Linked DNA regions of Saccharomyces cerevisiae S288C. The gene in region 3 interacts genetically with the main gene of each other region. Each region holds a gene or a part of one and is shown on either strand. Other genes may lie near its edges.

The links.
Region 1: mutations in DTD1 (region 3) and TMA23 together harm fitness more than expected from each alone (negative genetic interaction), as found in Saccharomyces cerevisiae (2 studies listed by BioGRID).
Region 2: mutations in DTD1 (region 3) and MHP1 together harm fitness more than expected from each alone (negative genetic interaction), as found in Saccharomyces cerevisiae (2 studies listed by BioGRID).

The regions. Positions count from the first base shown.
Region 1 is NC_001145.3:800,749-807,909, reverse strand, and holds TMA23 (Tma23p), read right to left. Parts: upstream 3,455-7,161; coding exon 2,819-3,454; downstream 1-2,818. Other genes in the region: orotate phosphoribosyltransferase URA10, read left to right, coding at 362-1,045; RRN9 (Rrn9p), read left to right, coding at 1,487-2,584; U6 snRNP complex subunit PRP24, read left to right, coding at 3,688-5,022; inorganic diphosphatase PPA2, read right to left, coding at 5,206-6,138; RSN1 (Rsn1p), read right to left, coding at 6,531-7,161. UniProt on the Saccharomyces cerevisiae protein: Trans-acting factors of the ribosome biogenesis process.
Region 2 is NC_001142.9:357,446-368,263, reverse strand, and holds MHP1 (Mhp1p), read right to left. Parts: upstream 7,016-10,818; coding exon 2,819-7,015; downstream 1-2,818. Other genes in the region: FG-nucleoporin NSP1, read right to left, coding at 1-2,361, 2,480-2,480; YJL043W (uncharacterized protein), read right to left, coding at 7,361-8,134; GTPase-activating protein GYP6, read left to right, coding at 8,588-9,964; succinate dehydrogenase SDH9, read right to left, coding at 10,336-10,818. UniProt on the Saccharomyces cerevisiae protein: Essential for the formation and/or stabilization of microtubules. Binds to microtubules in vitro.
Region 3 is NC_001136.10:61,275-68,372, reverse strand, and holds DTD1 (D-tyrosyl-tRNA(Tyr) deacylase), read right to left. Parts: upstream 3,132-7,098; coding exon 3,067-3,131; intron 2,996-3,066; coding exon 2,608-2,995; downstream 1-2,607. Other genes in the region: translocation channel protein TIM22, read left to right, coding at 1-390; YDL218W (uncharacterized protein), read right to left, coding at 927-1,880; telomere-binding protein CDC13, read left to right, coding at 3,355-6,129; FMP45 (Fmp45p), read left to right, coding at 6,572-7,098. UniProt on the Saccharomyces cerevisiae protein: An aminoacyl-tRNA editing enzyme that deacylates mischarged D-aminoacyl-tRNAs. Hydrolyzes D-tyrosyl-tRNA(Tyr) into D-tyrosine and free tRNA(Tyr). May also deacylate mischarged D-leucyl-tRNA(Leu).

The DNA of each region.
Region 1 (7,161 bases), on a different chromosome or scaffold from region 3:
GATAGTTTTTTTAGCACTTTATTCTTTCACTTGTATTTTTTTAGACATTTCACGTATTCGGCTAATGGTATGGCACTTTCTCACGTGCCTTTCAGACTATGTAATATAAACTGTTCTAACCTGCTCTACACCTGACTCACATGACAGCATTTCCTTTCAGAATCACATAACATTTTTTGGTTTTAATTATCATATGCATTTCAAGGGAGTCATACATAACCTTTCGGGAAAGGCCCCTTCGCTTCCTAATCTAGGGTAAAAGGCCATCACAGGCTCTTTTATATAGATTAAGAACTAAGGAAGTGTCACGCAAAATAGTCGAGACCTAGAGCCATCAAGAATAATAAAACATAATCCAATAATGTCTGCATCTACTACAAGTTTAGAGGAATATCAAAAAACTTTCCTTGAACTGGGATTAGAATGCAAAGCACTAAGATTTGGGTCATTCAAGCTGAATTCAGGCAGGCAGTCGCCATATTTTTTCAATCTTAGTTTGTTCAATTCTGGAAAGCTGTTGGCAAACCTTGCCACCGCGTATGCAACTGCTATCATTCAATCGGAGCTTAAATTCGATGTTATTTTCGGACCTGCTTACAAAGGGATCCCTTTGGCTGCTATTGTATGCGTTAAACTAGCAGAAATCGGGGGCACTAAATTTCAAGGTATTCAATATGCTTTTAATAGAAAGAAAGTTAAAGACCACGGCGAAGGTGGTATTATTGTTGGAGCATCGCTTGAAGACAAGAGGGTGTTGATTATCGACGATGTCATGACTGCAGGAACTGCAATCAATGAAGCATTTGAGATAATCAGTATTGCTCAAGGTAGGGTAGTGGGTTGTATTGTTGCTTTAGATAGGCAAGAAGTGATTCATGAATCTGATCCGGAAAGAACAAGTGCTACCCAATCTGTTTCAAAGAGATACAACGTTCCTGTGCTAAGTATTGTATCACTGACTCAAGTGGTACAATTTATGGGAAATAGACTATCACCAGAGCAAAAATCAGCGATTGAAAACTACCGTAAGGCCTATGGTATATGAACTATAGAACTGACATGGACCATTTGATTATCATTGTTTGTATAGGAAAGAATAAATTTTTCTTGTATTCTTTTTTAATCAGTATACGTAAATAGCTTTTTATTGTTGGAGTTACGTGAGTTCTCGCATAGTAATTCATCAACTATTAGTGTCTTTTAAGGTTTCTTACTTTTCTTTTTGTCATGCTTCACTTGAGAGGATTTCTACTACTTTCCATAATTTTTCACTAAAATATTTTTCTTCTACAAAATAAACAAAAAGGCCTTTCGTGTTTGAAGATTACTCAGATGCAAGAATCACACTCAAGTTTAGCCATAAAGGGTGAAAATATTGATGTGTCGGCGGTTTTTTCTCTCTAGACATTTAACAGTTGCATTATAAAACTGTGCTGATTTCGGGACGACGAAATATATTTGAGAACAAACATTACGTGGGGTTTTGATGAGTGATCTTGACGAAGAAAGTCAAATTGAAACTCAGATCGATGCTCCTATCGAAGATATTATACGAGGATCTGAGCTTACCACTACAACCGCTGATAAAGAGACTTTGAAATCTGCAAATGAATTATTAGATTCTCTAGAACACTCGCACAGAGTCGACCTTTCGTTGCATTTATACTCTGCGTACCTCTTGAAAAGACTATTGTATAAGGCAAATGAAAAAAAACATTTTTATGAAGTAAACCAGTTTGTGAAGACCCAAATTAAGGATAACTGGACGAGCTGGCCTAATCCCAATACAATTATTGACCCTAGTGTAGACAAATTGTATGAAGATATACCGGAAGGTATTGCAAATGTAAGCGTACAGCCGGGGGAGATCTCAAATAGGGCTTTAATGCACGCCTCTGATATGATGAGGGTTGAGCTGGATGCTCAATGGCAAAAATTTCTCTCTAAGTCTGCCTTGGACCATGATGTAACTCTAGATGTGGATGAATTGAACATTCCAAACGAAATATCCCGGAATATCTTAGTTAAACTGGACAGCTTATTCGAAGGGTTGCATGATAAAATAGCCAAAGAGAACGAATTCGATGTAAGGCAAGATAAGCATTCTAATAATATAAGGGCGAATCAGATAGACGACGAGCCCATGCAGGCCAATCGACGAATTAAATACACATATCATGACTTGGTTTCAAGAGGTTGTGAAATGAACGAGGATATGACGGATATCTACATGAAATCATTAGAGCTATATAACGATATCCCAGAAAAGTATAAAAAGAGAAAATTCAGACTGCCCAAACAAATTCTAAAAAAGTATCACCAGCCAAAAAAGACCAGTTCATACTTAAAGGAGCTATTAAGTAAAACAAGAGAAGATTTCATACCTGTGGAAAAGTTATTGAAGGATAAACGGTTGACATCAAAGGACAAATCCAAGCTACAACGCTTAAATCGTGAAGAGACGGAAGATGCTCTAAACAAAAGAACATTTTTTCAGGTAAAGGGCTACTTAGAGGATGAGAATGAGATCTCTGATTACGAGTTGGACGACTGCCTCATAGAACTGCCTAATGGGAACATATGAATGAGAAAATCTTTTTTTTACCTTTTTCCATTAAGAAATATTCATCTCCTTTTAAGATCAACATATGTAACAATAAATATACTCTTTTAAAGATGTTCTTTTAATTTACTTACTGAAATTTAATATTAATAAAAGTTCGAAAACAAAGACTAAATACAAAAATAAAAAGATCATAAATTCAAACTTTTAAGAATGTCTTTTACGGATACATATTTACATATTAGACTATGATAATCATATATGCTCCTTTCTATCTCTTCTTGCTGAACTTTCTTCCTTTTTATGTTTTTTTGACTTTTTGGATTTTTTATGCTTCGATTTATCACCTTCATCGCTGCTATGCTTACTTTTCTTTCCTTTTTTACTCTCCTTCTTGCTTTTCTTCTTCTTCTTCTTCTTACTCTCACTGTCGTTACTAGTCTTTTTATCTTTTTTCAATTTTTTTCTCTTGACCTTGTTATCATCTTCATCACGCCTTCTTCTCTTCTTCCCTTTACTCGAACTTGCACTAGATACAACAAAGCTGGCTTCCTCCTTTTTACCAAGATTAGTAATGGTTCCTTTCAGCCCTTCTCCCTTTACAAACCACCTGTATAGAGGTGAGCTACTTTTCGATACAGCAGTAGCAACTGCCTCATTTTGAGTAAATTTAATACTGCCATTATTCGAATCAGTGCTTACATCCAGGTTCTTCAGATGTCCATCAAATAGCCTTTCCCACCATGCTTCGCCATCATTCCCGCCAGGAGCATTACCCAATCCCTTCTTATCTCTCTTGTGCTTTACCAGTATGGGTCTTTTCAAACCACCTTCTCTAAACGCTTCTCCTTCTTTCCAACCATATGATATCAGATATTCTTTGCTATCCATGTCCGATTTATTCTGATAATATTTCCGCTTGTATCATTCAATTTTCTATGTACATCATGACAATGAATTGTAGAGTGCATCAATGTCTTTTTTAAAGTCATCGCTAAAAAATTTTCAGGCGGGAACTTATTCAAAATGGCAGATTTACTACAACATTGAAAACCCTTTATATTTATTATATGAGAATCATTAGCGATAAACAAGCCCACATATTCACTTCATAATCTGTGATAATGGAGTATGGACATCACGCTAGACCAGATTCAAAACGACCATTGGATGAAGGATCACCAGCAGCCGCAGGATTAACTTCTAAGAAGGCGAACGAAGCTTTAACAAGAAATAGAGAATTAACAACTGTATTAGTCAAAAATTTGCCTAAGAGCTATAATCAAAACAAAGTCTATAAGTACTTCAAACATTGTGGGCCCATTATACACGTTGATGTTGCGGATTCGCTGAAGAAGAACTTTCGTTTTGCACGTATTGAATTTGCCAGGTATGATGGAGCCCTCGCTGCAATAACCAAAACACACAAAGTTGTAGGTCAGAATGAAATTATAGTATCTCATTTAACAGAATGCACATTATGGATGACGAATTTCCCCCCAAGTTATACTCAAAGAAATATTAGAGATCTATTGCAAGATATTAACGTTGTTGCACTCAGTATACGGCTTCCCAGTTTACGATTCAATACAAGCAGAAGGTTCGCTTACATCGATGTTACTTCTAAAGAGGATGCAAGATATTGTGTAGAAAAATTGAATGGACTCAAAATAGAAGGTTATACTTTAGTTACTAAAGTTTCCAATCCGCTGGAAAAGTCGAAACGGACCGATTCTGCCACACTAGAGGGGCGAGAGATTATGATACGAAACCTAAGTACAGAATTGCTCGACGAAAACCTTCTGAGGGAATCTTTTGAGGGATTTGGTTCCATTGAAAAAATCAACATACCTGCTGGACAGAAAGAGCACAGTTTCAATAACTGTTGTGCATTTATGGTTTTTGAAAATAAAGATTCTGCTGAAAGGGCACTTCAAATGAATAGAAGTTTGTTAGGTAATAGGGAAATTTCCGTTTCCTTGGCTGATAAAAAACCATTCTTAGAAAGAAACGAAGTCAAAAGACTTCTCGCATCGCGTAACAGCAAAGAACTAGAAACACTAATATGCTTATTTCCACTTTCAGATAAGGTGTCACCAAGCTTAATCTGCCAATTTCTTCAGGAAGAAATACACATCAATGAAAAAGATATTAGGAAAATACTTCTCGTTAGCGACTTCAATGGCGCCATTATTATATTTAGAGATAGTAAGTTTGCAGCAAAAATGCTAATGATACTAAATGGATCTCAATTTCAGGGAAAGGTGATACGTTCAGGTACTATTAATGACATGAAAAGATATTATAACAATCAACAGAATCACAGCATGAAACACGTCAAACCTAGTTGTATAAACATGATGGAAAAAGGACCAAATCTTCAAGTAAAGAAAAAAATTCCTGACAAACAAGAGCAGATGTCCAACGACGATTTTCGCAAGATGTTTCTAGGTGAGTAGACTAACCGAACCGGAGAAAGACGAACTTCTAATAGGATGTCATTTTAGCAGTGAATATAAACCCAAGTTTCTTTCCAAACGTTCACATACATCAAGCAGCCAACATTCGAGAGAGCAGAGATTACGTAATTATATACAAGGAACCTTTATCTAAACATTTTCTTCGAAGGTATTATTTTCATATTAAACGTAATACCATTTTTGCACCTCAGGCGGTATTTGAGAAGGGGGTTTAACACTATCTTCAAGTGTGACACCATTACCAGCCCTTTCTGTATTAGGCAGGTTGTCATACTTCTCCTGGAGTGATCCTGAAATGAGGTTTTTCCACGAATTGTGACATTTCTTTATAGTTTGGATGGTTTTATTGGAATTTTGATACTGTTCATGAAAGGCGAAACTATTTAATGGCTTCCCTGCTGGAACTTTATACTTTCTAAACCACTCCCTAGTCGTATCTAGAATCCCAGGAAAGTACTCCTCAATTTTTTCCAAGTCATCTATTTTAGAGGATAAAGGATCATTTACGTCGATCACTATGACCTTCCAATCCAATTCTCCATCATCAATTAAAGCGAGTGATCCTAATACCTTGACCTTTTTAATGGAACCCATTTCCAAAACATCCGAACCGATTTCGCAACAATCAAGAGGATCATTGTCACCTTTCAAAGCCACGTCACACTTCCCCAGTTTATGTTCAATTGTGGGATCTTCCCATGTTTGGGGAATAGCACCATAGTTGTGTATATAGCCGTGATAGGGAAAGATATTGTTCACGAACCTAAGCTTGCCATTCTTCGTATCTTGAACGATCGGATTGAACCTAAGTTCTTTGGATATTTCAAATTTTCCAGTTGTCCATCTTGGTACTTCAACAATCATATTTACGGTCTTTTCATGTTCATTCAAATCTAAAGGGACATCATGGAAAAAAGAACCAACCTCTCCATTTAATAATGTCAAGTATTTCTTAAACCCGAGGGTATATTTGCTGCCTTGTTGAATGGTGCTGAATTGTCTATGATTACGAATGGATAAAATATTCAATGTTTGTTTTAACCGTTCTATTGACCTAGCCTTGCTTGTTAAAGCATTCATTCGTAATAAATTCATGTTTTTCAGTAACTTCTCTAGAAGGGAATTTGCTTTTCACGCATACAAGCGAATCAAAGTTTCCAATTGAATGTACTCCCTATTAGTGCTGGTTAAATTAGCTGACTGCTCCGTATTACTGTGCGGAGTTCCTTTTATCCAATATTCAAACCTCATAGATTGCCAAAAACAAAAAAACTTTGCATAAAAAAAAACAAAAAGGGTTACTATACACGATGAATGATTAGACTATACACTATTATATAAGAAATGATTAGAATCATATTTTAAATGTATTAAAAGAATATATGCACGTCCTTTTCCTCTCCTTTTCTTAGTAAAATTACAATTCAACCATCAGAGGATAACAGCTAAACAAATAGGAATAGATAATTTCTGATAATGTTTAACCTTTAGACTGCCGAACGACTCTCTTCTTCCTTATACTTTGGGTCCGCAAATGGATTATTTTCCTTACTAGCTGTGTCAAATTCGCCATTTGCTTCACCATTTGCTTCGTCTTTAACATCATTATATGGTGGTGGTACGTCACGCAGAGTAAATTTCAAATTCTCATCGATGGTAGCATTTTCATCGTTCATTTCAACAACGCCAGAAACGTCTGAAATCAACAATTTGGAAAATCCAAAAGGATCGCGAGGAATCCACAATTCGGGGCATTGTGCACTAACAGCTGGATAATCGTAAGCATGAGAGATATCGAAATCATTGACTCTTTCATCAGGATCAACCAAACCATATATTTCTGGCAGTCTGCTCTTTACAGCCTTATAGGAGTAGTAAATGTGAGGTTTTAAGAATCTCTTCCACCATGGAGCCGGAGGAATTTTCATTGTATCACCATCTGCTAATAATGGCACGTCCTCAATTAAATTTTCTGCATTTATAGCGTGCCCATCTGCATTGGCTTCATTTGCTGGGTTGAATTGATATTCGAATGTATTTTCACTAAATATGCTATTTTCAACTTGTTGCTCAGTGACTGATTCACTCCTCTTGTGATATTTCTTTATTGGAAATTCA
Region 2 (10,818 bases), on a different chromosome or scaffold from region 3:
CTTCATTGTTTATATCGATGTTAGTGGTTTTGTTGAATGTATTACTAACATTGTTGATTTCTACTATTAGAGAAGAAAGATTGGATGACAACGAGTTTAAATTTTCGTCCAAAGTCTGGGCTGTCTTATAGGCCTGTTGTCTTTTTTGGTCATTATTGTTGGCCGCAGCACCTGAACTTGTAGACACAACATCGGACAGAAGTGCCTCTGTCTTGGTTTCAAAATTGTCTAAGAAGTTTTCTAATTCATCCTGTTGCCTCTCGATATATTGTAGAGATTGATCTATTTTGTTTTGACTATGTTCCGCCATCACAGCATCTGAGTATAACTGACTAATTTGTTCACCTCCTTTCACTAGTACCTGATCCCAACTATTAATTTTTTTGGTATACTGTTCAAAATGAGAGGCCGATTCTGTTAGTTGGTTAGTCCATTTCGTTACTAAATCGTCCAGTGTTTTATTGTCGAGAGAAACTGGCTTCAATTCTACTGGTTTAGAATTTAATTTCAAGCTATCACTTGATTTGACATCTGCGGTTGACTTCCCCGTAGAAGATTCCTCTGTTTTCTTCTCATTATCTTTTTGAGCACCAAAAGTAAACGCTGGCTTGCTCGTATCACTGGATTTCTGTTCTTCGGGTTTAGCACCAAAGGAAATGGCAGCCTTCGCCCCATCGCCTTCCTCCTTTCCTGTAGGCTTAGAACCAAATGAAAAGGCTGATTTTGATTCATCACTTTCTTTCTTTTCGTTAGCCTTTGCTCCGAATGAGAAGGCAGGCTTGGAGACTTCATCATTCTTCTTTTCATCGGGTTTAGCACCGAATGAGAAGGCAGGCTTCGAAGAACCACTGTCCTTTTTTTCATTCGATTTAGTACCAAATGAGAAGGCAGGCTTCGAAGAATCACTGTCCTTTTTTTCATCCGATTTAGCACCAAATGAGAAGGCAGGTTTAGAGGCATCGCCATCCTTTTTCTCATCGGACTTTGCTCCAAAAGAGAATGCCGGCTTGGAAGTTTCATTGTTATTCTTTTCCGCGGGCTTGGCACCAAAGGAAAATGCTGGCTTAGCCGTTCCATCTTGCTTGTCTTCATTTGATTTGGCACCAAATGAGAAAGCTGGTTTTGAGGAATTATCATCCTTCTTTTCTTCTGGCTTAGCGCCGAATGAGAAGGCAGGCTTAGAAGTAGCACTAGCTTTATTTTCATCCGGTTTAGCGCCAAAAGAGAAGGCAGGTTTAGAGGCATCACCATCCTTTTTCTCATCAGACTTTGCTCCAAAAGAGAATGCCGGCTTGGAGGTTTCATTGTTATTCTTCTCCGCGGGCTTGGCACCAAAGGAAAATGCTGGCTTAGCCGTTCCATCTTGCTTGTCTTCATTTGATTTGGCACCAAATGAGAAAGCTGGTTTTGAGGAATTATCATCCTTCTTTTCTTCTGGCTTAGCACCGAATGAGAAGGCAGGCTTAGAAGTAGCACCAGCTTTATTTTCATCCGATTTAGCACCAAACGAAAAACTTGGGGTTGTGTTAGTTGTCTTATTGTCGGATGTTGCAGTACCAAAAGAGAGGGCTGGTTTTGCTGGTTCATTAGTTGTAGGTTCGGGTTGCGAAGCTCCAGCTGGGTTAGCACCAGCTGATCCTGAACCAAATGAAAGGGAAGGCTTTGCAGCCTCGTTAACCGTTTTGTTTCCACCTAGTTGTGAACCAAAGGAAAATCCTGTAGTGGGAGCTTGAGCGTCTGTCTTATTACCGACACTTGAATTAAAGGAGAAAGCAGGCTTGTCTGGTTCTGTTTTTTTATCGTCGTTAGTGGTTGCACCAAAGGAAAAGGCTGGCTTATTCGCATTTGCGGTAGCGCCAAATAAGTTATTACTTGTGTTAGCATTACCGGTCGAGCTAGGAGTTGTGTTATTGCCGCCGCCAAAATTCAAACCGCCGAACGCAGGTTTTGTCGTATTGCTATTAGTACTGTTATTGAATAAGGATGAAGAACCAAATGTATTTCCTCCAGCAGTTCCATTGCTCTTCGTTTGTTGAGCACTGGAAGATCCAAAAAGGGATGTCCCTGCACTATTACTACCAAATGTATTAGTCGTAGAATTGTTGCTGCCAAAAACGTTACTTGTGGGGTTACTGTTACCGAATGCAGTATTACCAGTGTTATTGCTACCAAATGCAGGTGTGATTGAAGAGTTTGCATTGTTCGTGTTATTTGGCGCAGAATTGTTGAAACCAAATGTTGATTGACCTGTTCCGAAGGCGCCCGCACCAGTAGAGGAATTCTGATTGGTGGTGTTAGAGTTATTGTTGGCAGTCCCGAACGAAAAGGGCGTTTTGTTTTGTTGAGGTGTATTGAAGTTCACTAATATTAAAAATCATGTAGTTTACAGGTTCGCAGGTTTTCGTTAGTAAATAGGAAGAAATTGTATAGGAGATAAAATTTTGATCGGAAGACAACCGTCCAATGGAAAGAAACATACTTTTTCAAAACGATCAGAGCTTATTACTGTTGGACTGTGCGTTGCAATGGCTCTCCAATAGCGTCTTCAGGTATCACAATCGACACGTCAAATATCACATCTGAGTGGTGCTAACACCATTTATTATTTTCTATAAAAGTTTGAAGAAAAAAACTCATCGGACCCGTCCGGGTTGTCTCAAGTTCTACAAAAGCATTATGCTTACATTAATAATAATAAAAAATACAAAATACTTAAAATAATCATACATGAAAGGATACGTAAATGTCTGAGGGCTCCTTATTATATTTTCGAAACCCAATACAAAAAAGAGATTAAAAAATTAAGAGAAATCCCTTATTATTTAGTACTACTGTTCCGCGCATCCTGGATTTTGTCTAGCACATCATCATAAGCAGCGTCAATGGCATTTTCCTCTGCATTGTTCATAAATTTATCAAATCCAGGCGCATCGGTCGGAGGAATATGAGCATTATCGTTCGTTCTAGAAGTATTGGAGCCTGTGGATATCGGATCAGTGGTAGGGGACGCATTAGCACTTGAATCATTGGATTGGGAGGACTGTTGTTCATCCTTTGTTCTGAACGCGGTCTCTTCTTGGTTTCCCTGTTTTTTGAAAATATGATGCAAGTGGTACCCTTGGCTATGCAGTTCATCAATGACGCCAAGGATAGTAGAGACGTCATTCTTCAACAGAAATTCCTTTATCTGGTCACTATCTAAGGATTGTGCGGCACGATTTAAGATTTCTTTGTCCACTGGCAAATCGCCACCACCGACAAGCTTTTCGTGTTCTAGTTCTCTTTTAATGATAGAGTATTTGTTTTTGATATCAACTTCATCTCGAAATTGTTGATCATTTGCTGGTACGTCTTCGTGATTTACGTTGGAGTCGTCACCTTCTCTGAATTCGACGGCATCTTCTGCATCTGGGCTTGACTTTTCGACTATTGCACTACCGAATGGCATAAGCGCAATATGATCTGAATTTTGTAATATAGATGAGCTTAGTAACATTCTTTGACAGCTTTCGGAATTGGGTTGTGCTTGATTTCCCCCTTTCCGACTTTTTGAGACGGCCTCTGGTGATTTCAAAGTGTTGTTATGTCTTTGTTTCAGCAGGTCACAGCCTCTTTCCAAACTTGCCTCTATGAAGCATAATCTAATCAAAGCTTCCTTACCTTCCAAATTTAATTGTCCATTCAGTTTTAAATCAAAAAGATCATGAACCACTTTACTAATCTTGATACGTGCCAACGCGATTTTGGCCATGAAATTCTCAACCATTTTGTTGTAATGTTCGGAATTATCCGCTTTTTCAGTTAATAAAAGTGATAGTTGGTCCTGTAGGCTTGAAAATTGGCTATCTTTGATATCTTTATCGTCACTATTAACCCTTTTCAACTCCCCTTGAATATTTCTTAAAGCATATAATGAAATTTTTTCCTTAATGTTCTCTGGCATATACACATAGTCCACGTCCAAAGTCATCAAAGATGAACTTTTCCTCACCGCCTCTGCTAGAGCTTTAGACGATGCCAAATCCAATTCCGTTCCTAACATGGAAAAATAATTCAATCTTGAACACATGGGTAATATTTCGGCCAGCATCACTACACTCGTGGAACTTAAATTATTGTAGTCGATATGCAGACGGACAAGATTAACAAAAACAGGTAAAAAATCAATCAGCGTCGGAACACAGTGGGGGAAGATGGCAGGATTGTTCGATATATCCAAGAATTTTAAATTTTCCAAATAACATAAAACGCTTATCAGTTTTAAGACCTCGTTATTCTCAAAAGTGTCGTGTTCGTTCACTCTCAAATTTGTCCCATTTAGAGATAAAAATTTGAAGACGTTTTTCTCGTTAGCTTTTTGTATTTTGCCTAAAACAGCATCGGTGAAAGAGGAAAGTTTGCCATTCAAATCGTTAAAACCAACGTCTAGACCTGTCACTTTTGATTGAACCATCCACTTGGCCAAATCATCACATTGGCTCTTAGATAATCCATTATACGCGAGGCCCAATCTCTCGGTTGCTATACAAGCAACGAGGATGAAGTTTTTGAATTGTGCAGAATTCATCTTGGCCCCGGAAATGACAATTTCCTCCAAACCGCCCATGAGGGCAATAGAAGCTGTCAAAAGGTCCCAGTTCATGTCGGATCTATTTTCCAAGTTGCATTGCATTCTCAGAATTTTTGACTTCAAAGAAGATTTAGAAGGCTTTTGTACATTTGTCTTGATGGAAGGGACCATTGTCAAATCAATAGAGTGCAGAGACTTGGCCTTGGAGACAAAATAACACAGAACTTTCCATCCTTCTTCATCCAAGGGGGTGTTTCTTAGAGAAAGTTTTTGGAAATGCTGTTTGTAAACCAGCGAACTCAAAATTATTCTAAGCATTTGCACGGTTAATTGTACACCGTCCAACGAAAGACATAAAACGGGAGCAATGCTCAAGAAATCGCTGAACGACCAAATTTCCACCATAGAAGGTCTTGGGTTACGTAACTGTAAGATGGGGATAGGGTCCGTCGAGCCCTTTTTCAATTGCTTCAATGTGGCTGGTATGGGCAGAATTTCTCGCAAGTGACAACAACGGGTATACACAATGTCGTGAGGTATCTTCAAAGAAGGTGGGGGAAGAATTTCTCCTTCATCATCTGCGTTCGTACCGTTGGTATCACTGGACACCATGGAGGCCAAAGAGGATGTGGAAGCACCCCTTCTTGAAATCATTGGCTTATCGATGGTCAAATGGCTGGCGGTCTTACTGACAGTGACTTCTTCTTCATTGTTGGTCACGATACGTTTCAATTCGTTAGGTGCCTCTTTGGCTCTGGCCTCTGCAGCAGCTTCTGCAGCGGCCATAACGATGTTTCTCCTTTGAGAATTGTTATCCTCCTCGTCGTGTGCCTCCACTTCGTTCTGCTTTTGAGGGGCCATCTCCTCTTTACTCTTGGCATTTGCGTCGTCTTCCTCGGGATTTAATAGTTTTAATTGCCCGGTCCCCCCAACGACAACACCCAAACTAGTCGATTCCATGATTTTTTTGCGTTCTTGCGGAGTCAACCTATGAATGACAACAGATCCATTAGGCTTCACTTCCACTTCACCTTTACGAGGGTTTTTACTGCATATTTGTTGTGGAGGATCGTTGAAATAGGTGTTCGTAGCAAAGGAGACGTGTTTCAAGGGCCGTATATTCTCGAGGCCGGGGACGGTGGTTATCTTTGAAGGGTCGAACTCCATTGAACTAGAAGACCATAGGGACGTCGATGAGGTGTCTGGATTATTGACGTTTGCAGAAAGGGAGGAGGCATTGGTGCTGTTGTTGTTGTTGTTCCCATAAGAGGTAACTTTCCTTAAAAAGGCGCCGAATTTATGAGAAGAAGGTGTCTGATTATTATTCTGCGCTGACGAGGAAACGTCCGAATTGGAATCCACTGTGTCTACTATCGATGCGTTGCTTGGATGCTTCTTCCTGAAGGCGGAAGGCAATTTGGGTGCGTCGGGATGCGGCGGAATGGGTCTTCCCTTAGCGTCAAATTTCTGGTGAGCAAGTGATTTGGCAGGTTGTGGTTTGTCGTTATGTAATGAGAACGAAGCGCGTCTATTTTTCTTGGTTGTGGGAGACGCAGATGACTTAATAAAGTTCCCTTCTTTGAAGGCGGCTAATTTGTAATCCTTAGATTTGTAGTAGCGCAAGAAATCCATTAATCTAGGATCAGGTCGAGAGCCGCCATAGTTATGATCGTCTGCGGGGGAAGTTCCGTCGACTTTACCCTCTTCTGGTGAGTGGTATGTGCGCATACGGCCATGGTAGTAGCTTTGCGGATGATTTTCGTAATACACTTCTGATTCCGTCTTGGATCTTGTTAACGGTACCACAGTATCGTTATAAGAGGGTGGAGCATTGTACTGCAAAGGCGGTGGTGATTCCGCAGATATGGTAGCCGTTCTTTCTCTTCTTATGGCCGCGCCACGGTCCACGTGAGTCGGAGAGGGTGAGCGCTCTTTCCTTTCTCGTTCCTTCTCCTGTTGTTCCTGATCCTTCTTCCTATGGCCAAACAGACTCTTAAAGAATCCGACCTTCTTAGGTGCAGGAGCATCTTCCGTGTGATGGTGGTGGCGGTGGTGGTGATGATGTCCGGAGTCAGCCTCAACGTTAGACAGGTTAGTCTCCACCACTGACTTCGACCTACCCCTAGGGGGAGGAATGTTTGTGGGAACGGATGTAGACCCAGCGTTAGCACGCTGATTATCCATTAGCAAGCTCGCAGCTACGGAGTGACGGCGTCCCTTATCGTTTGAAGAAAGAATGCTGCTGGAAGAGTCTACAGACGTTTCGAAAACGGGCGGGCGAGCAGTGTCCATCTGGATGTCAGGAGCCACACTGTTGGCCTTGGACTCGGATTTCCCTGGTCTGGAGCTCTTGCTGGTGGAGGCACTGGGCCTGACCAACCATCCAACGTCGATGCAGGGGATTCGGTGCTCCTTAAGCAACTTTTGCGTGTCCTTGGAGTCCATGGAGCAGTTGTAGGGCTATCTTGTATATTTTGCGTATTTAAGTGCGATTATGCGAGTGCCTGAGTGGTGTATATGTATGTACATATGAACGCTTTAAGGCAGAAGCTTGTTATATAAAGGAGAATGAGAACGCAGCATTTGCTTGTACAGCCAGATGCTTCGAGTGAAACACCGTTGCGTAAATTGAACCTGAACGTTCTAGATGCGAAAACAATACAATAAGCCAATAACGTAAACAGTCGCGCAGCACGAGGAAGGGGGGAGAGCAAGCTGTCCAGGACGGGTGAACATCGAACGGGGCCGACGGCCTAAAAGAGAAGCTGATGAAAAAAAAAAAGGCCCGGGCTACCATTGGAACAACGGGTCCGTAGTAGGTAGCGCACCCAACAGTGCCTCCAACTGCACCACACACTTGCGCTGTCGCCCTTTTGATGCTTCGTCTTCGTCCTCTATCTGCATGTTGTAATCAGACCCGTAGCGCGACCAAATGTCGTAGTCGTCAACATGCGGTGTGGCGTACACCAACTCCGGTGACGACGTCCAAAGTAGCTGCAGCGGCATTTCGCTCGCGTGCCTGATCTCACAATCATGCAGCACAGACCTTAGGTCCCTGGTGCTCATTGCAGTTTCGCCAATAAACAGCATGGGGATGATGATAGTCCGTGACTGTTGCCAGGGAAATCTCCACTTGGGTCGGTTGGTACAGCCTGTGTGTTTTACCGTTGATGGGCCCATGTAGTGGGACCAGTCATCCAAGAGCCTAGCATAGCTTTGACGTAGCGGCGCCGTCGCGGCGCCGCTTTCAAAGCTAGCCGGGTTGGCGATCTCGATGGGTATTATGGTGTTGCATTTCTGCAGGAGGTCGATACAGTCGGTGATCTGGTGTAGGGTCATCGCCATAGCAAACAATTTCTGCGTCAGTCCGGCAGTACGGCCACTAGCAAAGTCTTCGTCAGTAAGTGCCACAATGTCGTGGCACTTTGGTACTAGACTTTTCAGAATCTCCAATTGTTCGCTGATGGCTTCACAGCGCTGAAAACAGCAGTAAGTGTTGACCAACTTACCAAAAGATGCATTTATATCCGTGTAACGCTCCAGTCCGGAATAATCAACAAACATGGCTTGCGGTTTTCCTGAACACTCACCTTTTAGTATTCTTTTTTTCTTTTTTTTCTATTTTTTTTTCGACATAATTATTATTTTTTCTTGAATTATTTACTGACGCAAAGTTCTGACCACAGAAAAATTCCACGTCTTATTTTGCCCATGCCAGCCGTAGAATACGCACACGTGTACGCATGCTCCAAGTGTTATTGTAACTGGATGGTGCGCTGGTTTAGGCCTGTAAGCGGTCGTAAAGGAAAACCGGATATTATGTTACCCGCTTCTCCTACGGCATTACTAGTTCCTTTTTTTTTTTTTTTCAATTTTTCCATTGAGTTTTCCATAATCGGTACAGCAGCGTTTAATTTCATTACCTTTTTCAGAACAATGGGGGAGAGTTGTCAAGAGAATTGGCATACATAGAGAGGGTTAGCTGTCGTGCGTTTGTATTTTTTCGCTTATGCAACCATGAAGGATGTCTTACAATGGGCGATTGACCACTACGAGACAAGAGACCAACTGGTGCAGAAGGGAATTTGGAAAGGTGAACTCTACCATGACTCTATCTTTAAAGAAAATAGTAGAGGCTGGCTCTGGAAAGCTTTGCTTCTGTGTGATGAAAACAACAACTGCTTGTTAACTGATAACTTTAAAGGTTTGGACCTTAACCAGTTCGGCTTGGTGCCAGTGCCTATGCTGGCAGATGGCGACAACTATGACGAAAATCATAATGCAAATGTACCTAAAAGGGTCTTGCACTCGAACGTTTCCTCCTCAGTGGGAATCAGGAGGCTGACTCCCGTCGAGGCTGTTGAAAAACATCCCTTGTCTGATGACAATGACAAAACTAAAGGTTCTTTGTCCAAGGGAAGTGATGAAAAGCCGTTGACACTGAGGGAAACTCTGGAAATTATAGATTTGGACCTCTCAAGGATAATGCTTGACGATATATTTCAGGAACCCAAGGTTCATGCTCAAATGAGACAACTTTTGTACAATTACCTGCTTATACATCAAAGCGAACACCTACAGTATAAACAAGGGTTCCACGAAATATTAAGCGTCATTTATCTGCAATTATATCACGGTACAGATCTCGATAATACCGATTTGCAAAACGTTCTGATTATCTTTAACAAGCTAATGAACCAAATCGAACCGATTTTTTATAACGAAGAAAATTTGATTAACTGGGATAAGAGAGTATTCACGAAAATCTTTAGGATTTGTTTGCCAGACTTGTTTTCAAAGGTTTTTTACCAACCACCAAAAACGGGCAGCGGGAAGAAAAAAAACGTAGACCATCTGATTCACTCCAACCTAATCTGGCTCATCCGATGGACAAGGTTGTTATTTTTAAGAGAATTACCCTTAAAATATGTGCTAATCGTTTGGGACCACGTCCTGACGTTCAATTATCCCTTGGATATTTTCATTGCATGCACTATCATCACCCTTTTGTTATCCATTTACGATGAGCTTCACGAACTAGTGAGCCAAGGTGACTATGAACATACGAATAATAACGATGAATTTGTTGAATTGATTTTGCATTTCAAGAAAATTTTTGAAAAGGAAGATGCCAGTAAAGATGATGAAAAGTTTTTAGACCTGTGTAAGGTCACTGGAAATTTATGTGAATTGTGGTATGGAAAAAATTACGACGATATGAGATTGATTTGCGACACTTTTATAAATGCGAAGTTCGGCATAAAGACTAGTGATGTTTTAAGTATGGAAACAGCAAAGTTGACTATTGATCCTAATAGACAATCACTCGAAAACAAACTGAGGGAGAGGGTAAGGCAAACAATTTTGAAGAACAAAAAGAAAATAAGCCAATAAGTTTTTCTTGTCAATTACTCGTTGTTATTTGTTTGAAATCCCAGCCTGCACACCCGCACGACAAAATCAAAAAAAAAAAAAAAAAAACCCAGCTACCACCAACAAACAGATAGCCCACATGTCATATTTCCTAATGAGCTGGTTTCCCTCTGATATTTTTGCATATTGCAGCTCGACGTATATTGTACTTCAATGTCTTGCATAAAATTATATAGCATAATAGATAAGGTGTAAGTTGACAGTAAACGAGTACTATTGACCAAGAATCAATGAGAGAGATAGAGAGAAAAATAAGAAAAAAGGGAAAGATCATTTTTGCCAGATCAATAAATAAGTTTGCCCTCCAAAATAAATAAATAAATAAATAAGAATTAATAGGATCTGACAGCTGGAGGGACTGGGGCGCATTCATTCTCATCTAAAGTATGTGCGATTACATTCCTGTACTTGATTTTTACAGGTGTTGATGTCCCCTTTTGCCATGATAATGTGTGCTTTCTCCAATTCACATCATCTCTTTTTGCATAGTCCTCTCTCGCATGAGCACCACGAGACTCCTTTCTTTTGGAAGCAGAAACAGCCGTTTGTGTGGCACAAGTAAGTAAATTTTGCAATTCCAGAGTTTCTACGAGATCAGAATTCCAGATCATTGACTTATCAGAAACGTGCACATCCTCAAATGTCTTGTCCACTTCAGTAATATTTCTAACACCTTCATCTAGAGTGTCTTGCGTCCTGAAAACAGAAACATCTTTTTGCATTGTCCTTTGCATGTTCAACCTGATTTGAGAGGTTTTCAGTGAGCCGCGAGCATTTCTTACTTTATCCAAATTAGCAATTGACTCGTGCCCGAT
Region 3 (7,098 bases):
GCAAATACAGCAGCAACTGCAACTGCGGGAAATATAGGTGTGGGTGGAATATCAAGAACAGTTCAGCAAATATCTGATTTACCTTTCCGGCAGCAAATGAAACTTCAATTTACCGATATGGGTAAAAAATCCTACTCTAGTGCTAAGAATTTTGGCTACATTGGTATGATATATGCTGGGGTGGAGTGTGTCATAGAGTCACTTAGAGCTAAAAATGATATTTACAACGGAGTAACCGCAGGGTTTTTTACCGGTGCTGGGCTGGCATACAAAGCTGGACCACAAGCTGCCTTAATGGGTGGTGCCGGGTTTGCTGCCTTTTCAGCTGCAATTGATTTGTATATGAAAAGTGAGGATGGTAGACCACCTCAAAACGATTTTAAAGAATGAATAGCCAATTTCGACGAACGATGAATGTTTTATATTTGTAAATATCACCTATCTTAATATTCTGCACGACCGTCCCAGAATTTAAGAACGCTTAATAATTTCCAGAACTACTGTTACTAGTAAAGCAAAAAAATTCCCTGGGAGAATTAATCATGCTTTAACTAGACTCTGGGCCGATCATTTTTGCTGGAAGAAAATGGGAAGTGTAAAAACGATACCCTTTCCAATTTTCCCATGTCGATGAATTCGAGGCGTTAGAGACTGTCGCTAAACTCAAGTGATAGTCACACTTTAATATTAATAAATTGGAAGATTTCAGTCACATATTTGACAGAGGAAAATATAAAAATAAGAAGTAATAAAAGTAAATCATTATATATAAAAAAAATTAAGCATTATTCACACCTGATAAGGATTTTCTAAAAGACGACGCCATTATTAGAACAGGAGCAATTCAAATCGTTAAGCAAAGAAAAGAAAAAGAAAAAGAAAAAGTATGTGAAGGGTATAGACGAACAAAAAGGAAATCATTGAATTTATGGCATTTGATTGACGTTCCTGTTTGGTTCTGCAGTGCTACCACTCATAGCGCCAGAGTGAGCTCCTTCTGTGACCTTTTCTTGATAAGACCGATCACCTGACTCATCCGTAGAGTAAGCGTGCTGGTCCACTGCACTGTTAGCGACATTCGCAGAACCAGGATTACGATCGTTGGTGGTGTAACGCGTCTTAGGGTCCGCTGTTGTTGTGGTGTAACGTGTGTTGGTGGTGGTAGTATGGTACTGCCCATTGGGGTCATTAGTTGCATAGCGTGCGTCGCCATTCGGTTCAGATGTGTAAGCAGCATTATCACCTGCACCTGCTTCGACATCACCGGTCCTAACATTGGTGTTATCGTAAGCAGCTGTTTCTTCAAAAGGCTCGCTTAAAGCTAGTCCGCTCCACCTATGGAGCTTTGTACCCATAGAAGCGCCGCTTCTCCACATTCCTTGGGTTTGATAACGCTTCCTGATAGGTGTTAAGACATTAATTCCCAGTAATATCACACTGATCAAAAACAGTACAAAGCAAAGGCCAGAAAAGGCGATTGCCGCCTGAGAAGAATTACATGCTCTTCTATGACTGTCAGCAGTATATTGGCCACTGTACGGATTATAGTATAATCCGTCTGCATTAGTGTTGCTACAGCTACGTTCACCTTGAGCTTTGGCAAGAACAACGAAAGCTGCTAGCCATAGCATACAAACGATCAATTCGGCACAGAAGTACATTCCTATGTAGATCAATGTGGGTAGGGCCAGACACAAAATACCTAAGGCAATCAGATAAAACACACTAATGACACCTGTTGCCAATGTGAAGTTGGTTTTCTTATTACCTCTATTTCCATAGGCGTGGATGGCATACGCCAAAAGTGACATCACCAAAACCGATGATGCAAATTGAGAAAATCTCAAAAGTGTTAAGAAAACTCCAGTAACTCGTTTCATAACGTTGATATAATATATCTATTTGGTTTATGTTCCTCAATTGAAAAAAAAAACCGTAAACTTTCGTACTGAGAACATCAAAGCATAATGGTAACGGACGCTTTGTTGAACCTTTTTATACGTTGTCTTTTAGGGAATGTTAACCAACCATCGTCATCCCTTAAGATACGGTTTCAATATCCCTTGGAAACCAAATATACGTTAAAGTCATCAACGAGTATGCTTACTGGTTTATTAGTAACACAAACCTCAAAATCTCCTTAACTATCGTCAATTTAAGGGTATATATCCCCTTTCTCATTGTGCGTTTCTTTTTCCATGCCAGGTCAATACTCTCCTATGACTGGAAATACACTGTAAACATGCTTTTAGCCCTCTGGATTAGTAAGACTGGCAGGGCATCGCTTCGCCGTCCCTTTTTTCACTTTTACATTTTTTTTTTTTCATTTTCGCCCTTAAAGTTTTTTAAAGTTGATTTACTTACTTTTATGTAAAGAATATAAAACAATTCTAGACTTTCTTGGCGAAGGTTATTGAAGGAAGCGTGAATTCAAAAATCCATCACAGATATTTTGTATTCATTTTTTTGGGGAGGGCTCCTCTCCGCTCTACTCAACTTCACTGAGAACATAACATGGAAAGATTTTGGTACTTTATCTTGCGAAAGAAAGATTGCAAATAATGTTTGCTTTTTATTTTCTTCTCGTATATATCTATAAGGTCAATCTTATTGGTCACTGTCAAGAATGATTGTAACGGGCCCTTCATTAGTTAAAGAGCAACTCATCATTGCGCCGAATTCACCATCCTTTACTTTTTCCTCACCCAAATCACTTCTTAGTAATTTTAAGAATTCTTCATAAAGTTCTTTAGCTATATGACCCTTTTGGGCCAAATGGAAATCGGGTTTAGTTCCCTTCTTGGTTTTTGCCATCAAAGTGAATTGAGACACGGATAGAATTTCACCATTGGCCTCTTTAATATTCTTCTTCCATAGATTTCTGGATTCATCTTCGAAGATTCTCAAACTAAGAACCTTTTTCGATAATTTATCTATCTCCGCCATAGAATCATCAATGGAAATACCTACTAGGAGCATATAACCATGTTTAATACTGTCACATAGATAGAGGTGTTAGTAAAAAAAATTGGTGCACTAACGAAGCTGAAAAAACCGGTAACATACCTTGAAATAACTTTTGAATCGACGACTACAGATGCTTGGCTGACTTTTTGTAAGACAATCTTCATTGTAAATCCGCTGCTGAATAATATGTGGATTATTTAATATGTACATGCAGCCTTGATTAACGTGATTATACTTTTTAAACCTTTGATATCCAAATTTTTCAACGTCATAAGAGACGCGAAGGCCTAGTGAGATGCGAAATGCTAATTCAAAATGGAAATTTAAGAATATATTCATATATGTTTCTCTTTGGATACGAATGACCGTGGAAACTATCGCCTAAAAATGGATACCTTAGAAGAGCCTGAGTGTCCTCCACATAAAAATCGTATTTTTGTGAGCTCGAGTAAAGATTTTGAAGGCTATCCCAGCAAAGCAATAGTTCCCGTGCAATTCGTGGCGCTTTTAACCTCAATACACCTGACTGAAACAAAATGTTTGCTAGGCTTTTCTAATTTTGAGAGGCGAGGAGATCAATCCCAAGAAGATCAATATTTAATCAAACTGAAGTTCAAAGATAGGGGCTCGGAGAGGTTAGCCCGGATCACTATTTCCTTACTTTGCCAATACTTTGATATTGAACTGCCAGATTTAGATTCTGACTCAGGCGCATCCCCAACAGTAATACTGAGAGATATTCACCTTGAAAGGTTATGTTTTTCAAGTTGTAAAGCTTTATATGTATCAAAACACGGGAACTATACTCTATTCTTAGAGGACATAAAACCGTTGGATTTGGTAAGTGTGATAAGCACCATATCTACAAAATCGACAAATAGCAGCAAGCATTCGTCATCAGAACTTATTTCAGAATGTGATTTGAACAACTCACTTGTGGATATCTTCAACAATTTAATAGAAATGAATAGAGACGAGAAAAACAGGTTTAAATTTGTAAAGTTGATTCACTACGATATAGAACTAAAAAAGTTCGTTCAAGACCAACAAAAGGTATTATCGCAGAAATCAAAAGCCGCAGCAATTAATCCTTTCTTTGTGCCAAATAGACTAGGGATACCTTACATTGAATCCCAAAACGAATTCAACTCGCAGCTTATGACGCTTAATGTAGATGAACCGACCACAGATATAAGCAACATGGGAGAGGAAATGCATGACAGCGCAGATCCCATTGAGGATTCAGATTCCTCAACTACCTCCTCTACCGGGAAATATTTCAGCTCAAAATCCTACATCCAGTCACAGACACCTGAAAGGAAAACAAGCGTACCAAATAATTGGCACGATGATGATTCCGGAAGCAAGAGGAAGAGAAAGCTTTCTTTCCACAGTCCGAACGCGTCCTCAATCCGCAAAGCCATCAGTTATGAGCAACTTTCCCTAGCTAGTGTAGGCTCAGTTGAAAGGTTAGAGGGCAAAATTGTTGGCATGAATCCACCTCAATTCGCCAGTATAAATGAGTTCAAATATTGCACATTGAAATTATATTTTACGCAGCTCTTACCAAATGTCCCAGACAAGGTCCTGGTGCCAGGCGTCAATTGCATTGAGATCGTTATCCCGACGAGAGAGCGAATCTGTGAGCTCTTCGGTGTTTTAAACTGTCAAAGCGACAAGATATCGGATATTTTACTACTGGAAAAGCCTGATCGAATTTCCGTCGAAGTTGAAAGGATCCTGTGGGACAATGACAAGACCGCCAGCCCAGGTATGGCAGTATGGAGTTTGAAGAACATTAGCACCGACACGCAGGCGCAGGCGCAGGTGCAGGTGCCTGCGCAATCGTCGGCGTCAATCGATCCGTCTCGCACAAGGATGAGCAAAATGGCAAGGAAAGACCCCACCATCGAATTCTGTCAGTTGGGACTCGACACTTTTGAGACCAAATACATAACAATGTTTGGCATGCTAGTCTCCTGCTCGTTTGATAAACCTGCCTTTATATCTTTTGTCTTTAGCGATTTTACCAAGAACGATATCGTCCAAAACTATCTTTACGACAGATATCTAATAGATTACGAGAACAAGTTAGAGCTGAACGAGGGCTTCAAAGCCATCATGTACAAAAACCAATTCGAAACGTTTGACTCTAAGCTCAGAAAAATATTCAACAACGGGCTAAGAGATCTACAGAACGGCCGCGATGAAAACCTTTCGCAATACGGCATAGTTTGTAAGATGAATATAAAAGTGAAAATGTACAACGGCAAATTGAATGCCATTGTGCGCGAATGTGAGCCGGTCCCGCATTCCCAAATAAGCAGCATCGCCTCGCCTTCACAGTGCGAACATTTAAGATTGTTCTACCAACGAGCGTTCAAGAGAATTGGCGAATCCGCAATTTCACGCTATTTCGAAGAGTACCGGAGGTTTTTCCCCATACATAGAAACGGTTCTCATCTCGCGAAACTGAGGTTCGATGAAGTAAAGCATGAACCAAAAAAATCACCCACTACACCAGCTCTCGCAGAACACATACCCGACCTGAATGCAGACGTGTCCTCCTTCGATGTAAAGTTCACAGATATATCTTCTCTCTTGGACTCCTCGGCTCGCCTCCCGCGCCCACAGCAAACACACAAGAGCAACACATTATACAGTTGCGAGGGCCGTATCATCGCCATCGAGTACCACGCATCTGATCTCTGCTTCCATATCACGAATGAGCTCCCACTTTTACAAACCCGCGGCTTGGCCCCGGAGCGAGTGTTGCAACTACACATCATTACCTCCAAGAACTTTGCTTATTTTTTCAACCGCTCAAGCGCCTACTTACAGCGTCAGCCTCTTGAGGAAAAATATACGCAATTGGCACAATTTCTCGGCCATTCATTTAAATTCAATATAACCTCCTCGCTCACGCTGTTCCCTGACACTACCGTGGCACTCCAGATCTGGTGCCCAATTGAATGCACCTTTCGGGAATTGCAACAACAGCTGGCCCATCCGAAGGTTGCAGCGGCTCCTGATTCAGGGAGTCTTGATTGCGCAATTAATGCTACCGTCAATCCTCTGCGACTTCTTGCCGCGCAAAATGGCGTCACCGTGAAAAAGGAGGAGGATAATGACGATGACGCCGGAGCCGTTCCCACCTCGTAAGACATGATCCGCGCAGCCCAACGCGGCGGTGCCAAATTGCAGTGACGTCTCGGAGTAATATAAAAAAAAAAGACCAAATAACCAAATTTAAGGGTGCTCTGAATATAAGGGAGTGGAACGTTTTCACACGAAGGAAAAGGGAAAGAGGGGAGTGGTAAGAAGCAAGAGTCAATGAAAGGTCTTCCTTCCTTCTTGATGCTAAAACAAGGATAGTCTGGAATGGGGAGGAGCATTCGGCGCAGATGCCGACATATAAAAGGATGGTTGCTTTGCAACAGTTACTTGATCTTGCTTTGTTCTCTTGATTAGTTATCCGTTAGATGCAAACTTTAAGTACAGTAATTTTGAAGTGAATTAAAAAGAAAGAGGTATTTACGTTTAACGCTTATACTTTCCTTTTTATCCAAGTAACAAGTAACACTAATCACTATAATCTACCGCTATGATTTTCAAAAGGTTCGTTAATTTGCTTGTGTTTTTATTCCTACTCGGTGCTGGCTTATTGACGTTTTTTCTTATTCTGTCAGGAGGCAGAGAATCTGGAACGCTGAAAAATTTTTATTGGTTACAGGCTGATACAAACGGCTTTAACAGCGCTCCATCGACCACGAGATGGTACAATTACAATTGGTGCGGCTACGAAGACGGCCAGCTAGCTAATTGCTCTAGCAGGGCGCCCGCCAAGCCTTTCTCTCCCAGAGACAATTTTGGTAACTCTGTCAATTTACCATCGTCGTTCAGAAACAACCGGGATACCTACTATTATCTATCCAGGGTTGGATGGGCCATGCTGCTGATTTCCCTATTTTTCATCGTACTGGCGCTGGTACCCGGCTTTCTGGCTACCTTCCTTCCTTTCAAGGCAGTGCCAGTCCTGTACTGTGTGTTGTCCTGGTTGGCCTTTTTCTTCATTATATTGGCTGCATGCTTGTACACAGGTTGCTATGTGAAGGCCAGAAAGACCTTCCG